Callithrix jacchus: one gene and its partner. The protein of the gene in region 2 interacts with the protein of the main gene of each other region in a pairwise test. Links are inferred from orthologs where the notes say so. Each region holds a gene or a part of one and is shown on either strand. Other genes may lie near its edges. The genes, in order: MIF4GD and EIF3G.

The links.
Region 1: the proteins of EIF3G (region 2) and MIF4GD interact in binary tests that used the Homo sapiens proteins (3 or more experiments, as listed by UniProt). The link is inferred for Callithrix jacchus from reciprocal best matches to the Homo sapiens genes EIF3G and MIF4GD.

The regions. Positions count from the first base shown.
Region 1 is NC_133506.1:131,187,907-131,192,195, forward strand, and holds the start of MIF4GD (MIF4G domain-containing protein), read right to left. Parts: upstream 2,858-4,289; 5' UTR 2,809-2,857; exon of another isoform or gene 2,558-2,808; intron 1,911-2,557; 5' UTR 1,861-1,910; coding exon 1,779-1,860; intron 1,175-1,778; coding exon 1,049-1,174; intron 1-1,048. UniProt on the Homo sapiens protein: Functions in replication-dependent translation of histone mRNAs which differ from other eukaryotic mRNAs in that they do not end with a poly-A tail but a stem-loop. May participate in circularizing those mRNAs specifically enhancing their translation.
Region 2 is NC_133523.1:9,307,671-9,311,986, forward strand, and holds the start of EIF3G (eukaryotic translation initiation factor 3 subunit G), read right to left. Parts: upstream 2,861-4,316; 5' UTR 2,818-2,860; coding exon 2,798-2,817; intron 2,659-2,797; coding exon 2,612-2,658; intron 2,120-2,611; coding exon 2,036-2,119; intron 1,928-2,035; coding exon 1,839-1,927; intron 1,698-1,838; coding exon 1,638-1,697; intron 305-1,637; coding exon 200-304; intron 103-199; coding exon 1-102. UniProt on the Homo sapiens protein: RNA-binding component of the eukaryotic translation initiation factor 3 (eIF-3) complex, which is required for several steps in the initiation of protein synthesis.

The DNA of each region.
Region 1 (4,289 bases), on a different chromosome or scaffold from region 2:
TTGAAGTGAAAGATCAGAAATCATACCAAGGACAGTGGCTCCAGTGGTGCAATCGGTTAGCGCATGGTACTTAGAAATCATGGCCAGGTGCGATGACTCACAACTGTAATTCTAGCAATTTTGGGAGACTGAGGTGGGTGGATTACCTGAGGTCAGGAGTTTGATACCAGCCTGGCTGACATGGTGAAACCCCATCTCTACTAAAACTACAAAAATTAGCTGGGCATGGTGGCTTGTGCCTGTCATCTCATGTTATCCCAGCTATTCAGGAGGCTGGGGCAGGAGAATTGCTTGAACCCAGGAGTCGGAGGTTGCAGTGATCCAAGATGGCACCACTGCACTCCAGCCTTGGCAACAAAGCAAGACACCGTCTCGGGAAAAAAAAAAAAAAAAAAGGAATTTCATACAGAGAGCCAGCATTTTGAAACCTGGCCAACATTTTGAAACCCCGTCTCTACAAAAATACAAAAAGTTGGCTGGGCACGGTGGCTCACGCCTATAATCCCAACACTTTGGGAGGCTGAGGCGGGTGGATCACAAGGTCAGGAGTTCAAGATCAGCCTGGCCAATATGGGCCAGGCATGGTGGCAAGGGCCTGTGTCCCAGCTACTTGGGAGGCTGAGGCAGGAGAATCACTTAAACCTGGGAGGCAGAGGTTGCAGGGAGTTGAGATCGTGCTACTGCACTCCAGCCTGGGCAACAAGGGCGAAACTGTCTCAAAAAAAAAAATCATATAGAAGACAGTAACCTTACAAATGAACAGCTTTAGCTGTCTGTCTTCTGGTTGCCCAGTCAGAGAAAATGAGGAGGGTATGTGGCTGGAAGGGACCAATCAAAATAAGAATATCGTTTTTCAGGAAATGCATCTTTTCCTGGCACTAGGCTGAGGAAGGAATACTGACCAGGACACGTCTCCAACAGCAATTTCACAAGAAAAAGTGTTCTTATACTATACATACACGAATCCCCAACTAGAGAGGGCCACACAGGGCCTCCCAACAGGCTCGGCTTGGCACTTGATGGGTCTTGCTAATTGTTGAAGACAAACTTCTGTCCTGAGTGTTACAGCAGGAAGGCATCGGGCCAGGGGAATAACTATACCTCCTCTGGCAAATGGAATATTCTCCATCTTCTGTCTCAAAGCAGGCAGCTGTGCATTCAAGAGAGGGGGCTACTGCAATGCAGAAACAGCCAATTCAAATGTAAGCGCTTCAAGGGTAGGAGCTGTGTTCTTTTTTTATGGTTGAACTTTTAAAAATTTGAGACAGGGTCTCGCTCTGTTAGCCAGGCTGGAGTGCAGTGGCAGGCTCATGGAACCTATACCCTCACCCTCCCAGGCTCAATCAGTCCTCCTACCTCAGCATCTTAAGTATCTGGGACCACAGGTATGTGCCACCATGCCGGCCTCATTTTTCAATTTTTTTTTTTTGTAGAGGTGGGGTTTGCCCCATGTTTCCCAGACTGCTCTTGAACTACTGGACTCAAGCAATCCACCCACGTTGGCCTTCCAAAGTGCTGGAACTACAGGCATGAGCCACTGCGCCTGGCCCTATGGTTAAGCTTTTTAAAAAGTCTTTACAGTCTGAAAGGTGACTGTGACTCATACTCCAGAATAACGACCTAAAATGTAGCTTGTCTTCCAGTTCAACAATTACACTGCCGACTCCTATCATCACAGAATGATGGAGGCATTCACCAGGCTCAGCCCTCTGGTGCTGCCCACAGGGGCCCTTCTCTGTGGCTCCTGATCCCAGCTCAGGAGGGGCTCCCGTGCTCACCTTTGAGTGCTGTCTTCAGCAGCTGCTGGGTCTCTGCATCAAAGGACTGGATTTTATACTCCTCTCTACTGGGCTCCCCCATGACCTGCCAGCCCTGGTAGCTCTTGACCGGGCTGGGACTAAGGACAGCACCTGGGGAGAAGAGGCGAAGGGAACGACCTCAGGTGTGGAGCACAGGGAGGGTTCTGTCCTACAGGCCCTGGGCAGGGCTGACGATGCTCGGGACAGGGGCTCTGTGCAGTCCGTGGCGTGCAATGGTTGTGGTTGGTTGAGGGCCCACCAGGCTTGGCTTCTGGCGGGGACTGGGCATCAGCCAGGTACCTGCTGCTCAGTTTAGAAACTCCACGCTTGTGGGATTACACAAGAGCGAGAAGCTGAAGCAGAAAAGCGCCCACCCTCTAGTCCCAGCAGGAGGCAGGGGTGGACTGGGGCAGGGTGTGTGCGGGCGGACGTTAGAGTTGCTTAAAGACACCGGCCTGACGCTGCTGGCCCGGCATGATGCCGGGTGAGGGTCAGGCTGGGAACTCCAAGCGGCGCGGCTCTGTCCCCAGCAGGGCTCCAAACCTCTCTCTCCAACCCTCTCTTCCCGGCTTTCGCCGAGTCCTTCGGTCTAAACACCCGCTGCTGCATCTCCCGGGTGGGGCCGGCCTGCGCGGATGGGGACAGGTTGCCCTGTCCGCCGCCTCGGCCAGGCGCAGCCTGAACTCCCCGACCCTGCCAGCTTCTCCCCGGGACAGACTGGTCGGACCGGCCCCAAAGTGGCGGCAACCAGGCCCTACCCACTCGAGACTCCTAATTCCTGAGCTCCATTCTGGATCCTTCCTCTTACGGGGGTTGGGGGCACAGGATGATGCGCCCTCGAGAGGTGGCTCCCGCCGGAGGCTCCCCTCTGGCCATAGGAGGCGCCGTCGGGGTCTCCAGCCCTCCCCACGAGCCCGGAACTCCCCTCCCGGCGGCACAGGGCGGACTGCGGACCTCAAGGTCCAGAGTCCCTGCAGGCTGGAGAGGCGGCGTGGGCAGCTGGACCCACCTGCCGGACCGGCGGCGCGCGCGCGCGTGCCCGGGGCCGCCTATCGGCTGAAAGCGCGCGACTCGCGTCAGGCGCTGCGGGGGCCGCCGTGATCTCATCTCCTCGCGCGGCGCCGGGGAAGGGCCGGCTCGTCCGCGCCACCTGCCGGCCCCCGGTGGCACTGCTCTGGCCGCCCGGCCGCCCCGGAAGCCGAGTCGCCCGCGTGGGGCCCCGGCGGAGACGCGGGGGACCCTGCGACGCTGCCACCCCCAGCCAGGTGGAGCTCGCTGGGTCCGTACCCTCCTCACCCGGTGCGCCCCGGCCCTGCCCGGGCCCACGCCGGACCCGCCAGCTCCTCAGTCTTGCGCGTGGCCCCGCACCCAGCCCTCCCCGAGCTCAGGTGCACGGGGGTGAGGCGGCGGGAGACACCGCTGGGCCGCGCGGCGTGGAAGAAGCCTGCAGACAGTGTGGTGGGGACCCGGTGGCAGGAGAGACGGTATCTGCCCTGGTCACACCACGTTTCCCGCTCCTCCAAACCAGGTAGAGAAGGCAGGGGCTGCAGGGCCGGGGCCAGCCACGACCCCCTCCCTCTCCAAGGAGGACGTGGGCGTAGCGAGTTGCAGGTCAGAGGGGCAGCCCCGAGAAGGGGGCCCCGTGGGCAACTCGCGGCCGTCGGGTGTTGGGAGTGCCCCTGAAGGGGCGCGTCTGCTCTGGGTGACAGGAGGGCACCTAGAAGGCGGGAAGAACTGCCGCCGCTCCTGCCGCGGGACTGGGAGAAGCGCCGCCGGCGCTGCCCGCGTTGCGGCCTCCAGTTAAAAGAACCGCCAAAGTGGTCACCGAAAACGGACGAGGAGAAGAATGCTCAGCTGCAGCAAAAGAAACTAATGGCCAGGAGAAAGGAAGATAATAAACTTAACGGAATTTCATAAAAAATACATTCCGGCCTGGTACAGCGGCTTACACCTGTAATCCCAGCACTTTGGGAGGCCGAGGTGGGCAGATCACCTGAGGTTGAGACCAACCTGACCAACATGGAGAAACCCCATCTCTACTAAAAATATAAAAAAAGTGGCCGAGCATGGTAGCACATGCCTGTAATCCCAGCTACTCAGGAGACTGAGGCCGGAGAATCGCTTGAACCCGGGAGGCGGAGGTTTTGGTGAGCCGAGATTGCGCCATTACACTCCAGCTTGGGCAACAAGAGCGAGACTCTGTATCAAAAATAAAGATAAAAAATACATTCAGGCAGCTGCATCCCCGCGGACTCCACCACAGCCTGGACCTTGGGAACCAGCAGCACAGAGCCAAGAAGCCCCAGCATTCAGGGCCCAGACAGACCCAAAAATCCCAGACCAGAGGCAGGGAAGGATGGTGCTAAAAGGAGCCCAGGACCCACACCAGACACAGGGCTGGAGAGGGAGGCAGAATGGAGAGCTCCCCCCAGGTGAAAGCAACCCCACAGGCCAGGCAGGTGGAGGGAAGGGTGAAGGTCGTATTCTGGA
Region 2 (4,316 bases):
GCAGCGAGTGGTCCAGTGGTCGCCCTTGCAGATGCGGCAGGACACGATCTTCTGCCCCTTGAGTTTGTTCATGGGGTCCTCCTCCTCCTGGCAGTTCAGGTCCTGGCAGGGGCAGGTTTGGGGGAATTCAAAGAGGTGGCTGAGGCACCCCATTTGCCACCACCCCAGGACCCCAGCCCAGTCTGGTTGCCCTGCTTACCTCCTTGCTGGTGATGAACGTCATAGAGACATCGTCACTGACAGTGGTGGTGGCCACATTGGGCCCTGGGGGGTCAAACTCTGAGTTTCCAAACTTCTTCCAGTTCTGGGCTCAGGGAGGAATGGGGGACAATTGAGGGCAGGGGCAGGCAGGGTTCCACAGTGGGGTGTCCCGGACCTACAGCCTTCCCCGGAGTGTCTGGGCCTTGAACCTCATTTTCATCCTCCTCAACCACTCCCTGAACAGTTCTGTTGACAGTTCCTATTGCCTGAGTCCCCGCCAGGCCTGAGCTCCAGGAGGCAGGGCAGCTGTCAGCATTGGGCCCCAGGTGAGAGCTACACAGCCTGGGGCCTGTTCATGTTGGCGGACAAGCTCCCACTAGGGTTCAATATTCAGGGATGTGAAGGGGCTCCACCCAGACCTCCAGGCCTTTGAGCTACCCAGCCTGAGCCTTGGCTTCCTCCCTTGTAAAACAGGAACCACAAAAGCTTCCTACCTCCCTGGGCTTCTAAGGACATCAAATGAGAAACACCCTGCCAGGTGGCTGGCATGAGGTATGGTACAAACTAAGCGCACAGCAAACTGTCCCAAGTGTATTAATTGATATCACTTCTTCCAGAAACTGCTGTGACCACCTTCTGGCTCCATTCCTCCATTGACAGGCTAAGAGGAATAAAAAATCTAACCACAGCTGGTCGCAGGGGCTCCCTCCTGTAATCCCAGCACTTTGCGAGGTGAAGGTGGAAGCTCTTGAGCCCAGGAACTGGAGACCAGCCTGATCAACATAGAGAAACCTTACCTCTACAAAAACTTAAAATTAGCCCGGTGTGGCGGTGCACACCTGTAACCCCAGCTACTCAGCAGGGTGAGGTGGGAGGATGGCTTGAACCTGGGAGTGTAAGGCTGCAGTAAGCTCTGACTGTGCCACTGCCCTCAAGACTGGGCAACAGGACTGGACCCTGTGTCTTTAAAAAAAAAATAAAAGAATCTAACTTACAATATTTTTAATCTAATTTATTTGATATTACTATCATTCGATATTTATCATCAAACTTTTTTTTTTTTTTTGGTGAGATGCAGTCTCACTCTGTCACCCAGGCTGGAGTGCAATGGTGCAACCTCAGCTAACTGCAACCTCCGTCTCCCAGATTCAAGCAATTCTTCTGCCTTAGCCTGCCCCGTAGCTGGGATTATAGGTGCACACCACCACACATGGCTACTTTCACTGCACCCCTGCCCATCATTGAACATTTTTACTGTGCATCATCATCAACTCCTGTGCCCTGAACTTTTCAAGACCCCATAAGAATACAAGAACCCAAGGCTCAGTTCAGACTCACAACAGGTACAGAGTTAAGTCCCATCTCTTAAAAACAAAGGTCCAGGGAACACAGTTTTCCAATTCCTCTGTGTTATCCCTGGGGAAGGAGGATCTCACCTTCCTCCTTGCGACAGCCTTTGAAGCCTTCCGGGTCTCAATCCTGAAGGTGCGGACAATCTGAGGATGGGAGAGGAGAAGGGTCAGGCTCCTGGAACCAAAGGAGCTCCTTTATCAACCCACTCAACACACCCCAACCTCTTCTGGTCTCAGGGTCCCCAAGGAAAAGGGTCCTCACTCCTTGCCCCCTCCCACCCTCACCTTGAACTTCTTGCCATCCTCATCTATCTTGTACTCCGTCACTGTCTTTATGTTTCCGTTGATGACCTCCTTGGGAGGCGGCAGTGGAGCTGGAGAAGGGGAAAAAGAGCAAGAAACTGAGCCCTGGGTCACGGGCATCAGGAGCGGCACGGCTGGAGGGAGAGGCAGCCCGGAACGGAGTGGCAGTCCTCACTCACCTCCCGGCAGCAGCTCCGGCTCTGGGCTGGTGTCGCCGGTGGCCAGAGGGATCCCTTTGAGGAGCTCGCTGGTGACACATTTGTCTGCGAGAAGCAGCGTGGGGAGAAGGGGTCAGCTCCAGGGGCAGGAGCTCCCCAGCTGAGATGGAAGGGCCTTTGGGATGACGCCTACAGCAAAAGCTGAGAAAGGCAGGCCAAGGGCAGAGGACTGGCCAGGTAGTACACTGGGATGGCCCTGTGGGGACGCGGAGTGGCCAGGATGGGGGAATCCCTCGTAGGAAGGTGGGGGCCACGCCATGAAGCCATCCAGGCGCCAGAGAGAAACAGGAGACAGGAGATTACAATTGTCTCCCTGGAGTAAGGGAACAGCTGGGAGGGCTAGCGCAATGGCATGGGAGGAAGAGGGACCTGCCAAGGAACATCTGGAGTTGGCAACAGGCGAGCCCCAAGGATGAAGGCGCGGGGCAGGGGCTGGCCGTGACGGCGAACACGGTGCCAGTCTGGGAGATGGAAACAGGCAGCAGTGAACCGGCTCGGGCCTGGCCGCGATGACCTGGGGCAAACGGATTCACTTACCGTCCTCTCCCTCCTCTTCCACCTGGTCGGCCCAGCTGGGCTTCGAACTGCGGAAACAAGTGTGTGGGGAGCTAAGATTAAGTCAGCCAGGCCAAGCCCCCGCGGCCTCGGCGCACCCAGGCCCCATAATACTTCCCAGAGCCCTGTAACCGCCTCCCGTACCCGCTTCCGTGATCCCCAACTCACTCAAAATCTCCAGTAGGCATCGCAAAAGGGCTCTCCACGCAGCCCAAGCCCGGGCTAGAGAGCGGAAGTGGGTGTAAAAGGAGACTTCCGGTTCCGCGGACACCGCCTAGTGGGGCCGGCCGCGGCATCCACAGCGACACCTGCGGACGGAGGTGGAGGCGCACGCGGCTGTGTATGCTGCTGGGAGCTGCTGGTACCAGAGCAGGGAGCGCGGAAGGGCGGTGGGGGCGTAGAGGCTGATTTCACTGCTGCTCCTACTACCCTTTAAAAACCAAAATAAGCCGGGCGCGGTGGCTGAAGCCTGTAATCCCAGCACTTTGGGAGGCCGAGACGGACAGATCACGAGGTCAGGAGATCGAGACCATCCTGGCCAACATGGTGAAACCCCGTTTCTAGTAAAACTACAAAAATTAACCGGGTGTGGTAGCATGCACTCGTAGTCCCAGCTACTCCGGAGGCTGAGGCGGGACAATCGCTTAAACCGGGAGGCAGAGGCCGCAGTGAGGCGAGACCGCGTCACTGCATTCCAGTCTGGGCTACAGAGTGAGACTCCATCTCAGAAAAATAAGTTAAAGAAAATGATATAATAACAACAAGGTTCACTGATCGAGTGCTTATTGTATATGAAGCAGGGTGAGGAGGATATTATTGCAATTTTACAGCTCAAGAAACTGAGGCTGAGACTGGGTGAGGTGTCACACGCCTGTAACCCCGCACTTTGAGACTGAGGCATGGGGGTTGCTTGAGGCCAGGAGTTCGAGAGTAGCTAGCCTGGGCAACAGGGTGAGAACCCCACCACCACCACCCCGACACACACCCACCACCATCTCTAAAAAAGAAAAAGAAAGAAAAAACAAAAACAAAAACAAAAAGCCGAGGCTCAGGGAAAACAGTCCTTCTGCAAACTGTTCCTTGCCTTCTTTCCCAATCCCACAGATTCAGATGTCAAGGGGCCCGATGAGCCACTCCTCCTCCTTTTCGTTGTAGTGTTCTTGGCTTTCCGGTATAATTTTGTGCATTTACTTGCTTATTGCTCAGCTCCTTGCTCTAAGAACAACCATCCTCAGCTGGAGTGATTCATGATGACTCCCCAGGAGCAAAAACTGGTTTTCAGCGAGGGGGAAAAAAACTAAGATATTGTGGTCTTCCAAAGCCAGCTCTATCAGACAACATCTTATTCTTTTTTTTTTTTTTTTTTTCAAGACGGGGTTTCACCATGTTGGTCAGGCTGGTCGTGAACTCCCAACCTCAGGTGATCCGCCCAACTTGGCCTCCAAAGTGCTTGGATTACAGGCGTGAGCCACCACGCCTGGCCCCATCTTATTCCTAAGTATTTAGTTTCTGCCTTTAGGGAGATAGTAACTAATTAAACTGAAACTAACTTGGTTGATTTAAATTCAATTTTAGAATAATTTGGGTTTTCTCCTAAGGAGGCTGATAATGAACAACAACAAAAAAAAAAACTGACAATGTGGGGCTCAGTGGCTCACAGCTGTAATCCCAGCACTTTGAGAGGCCA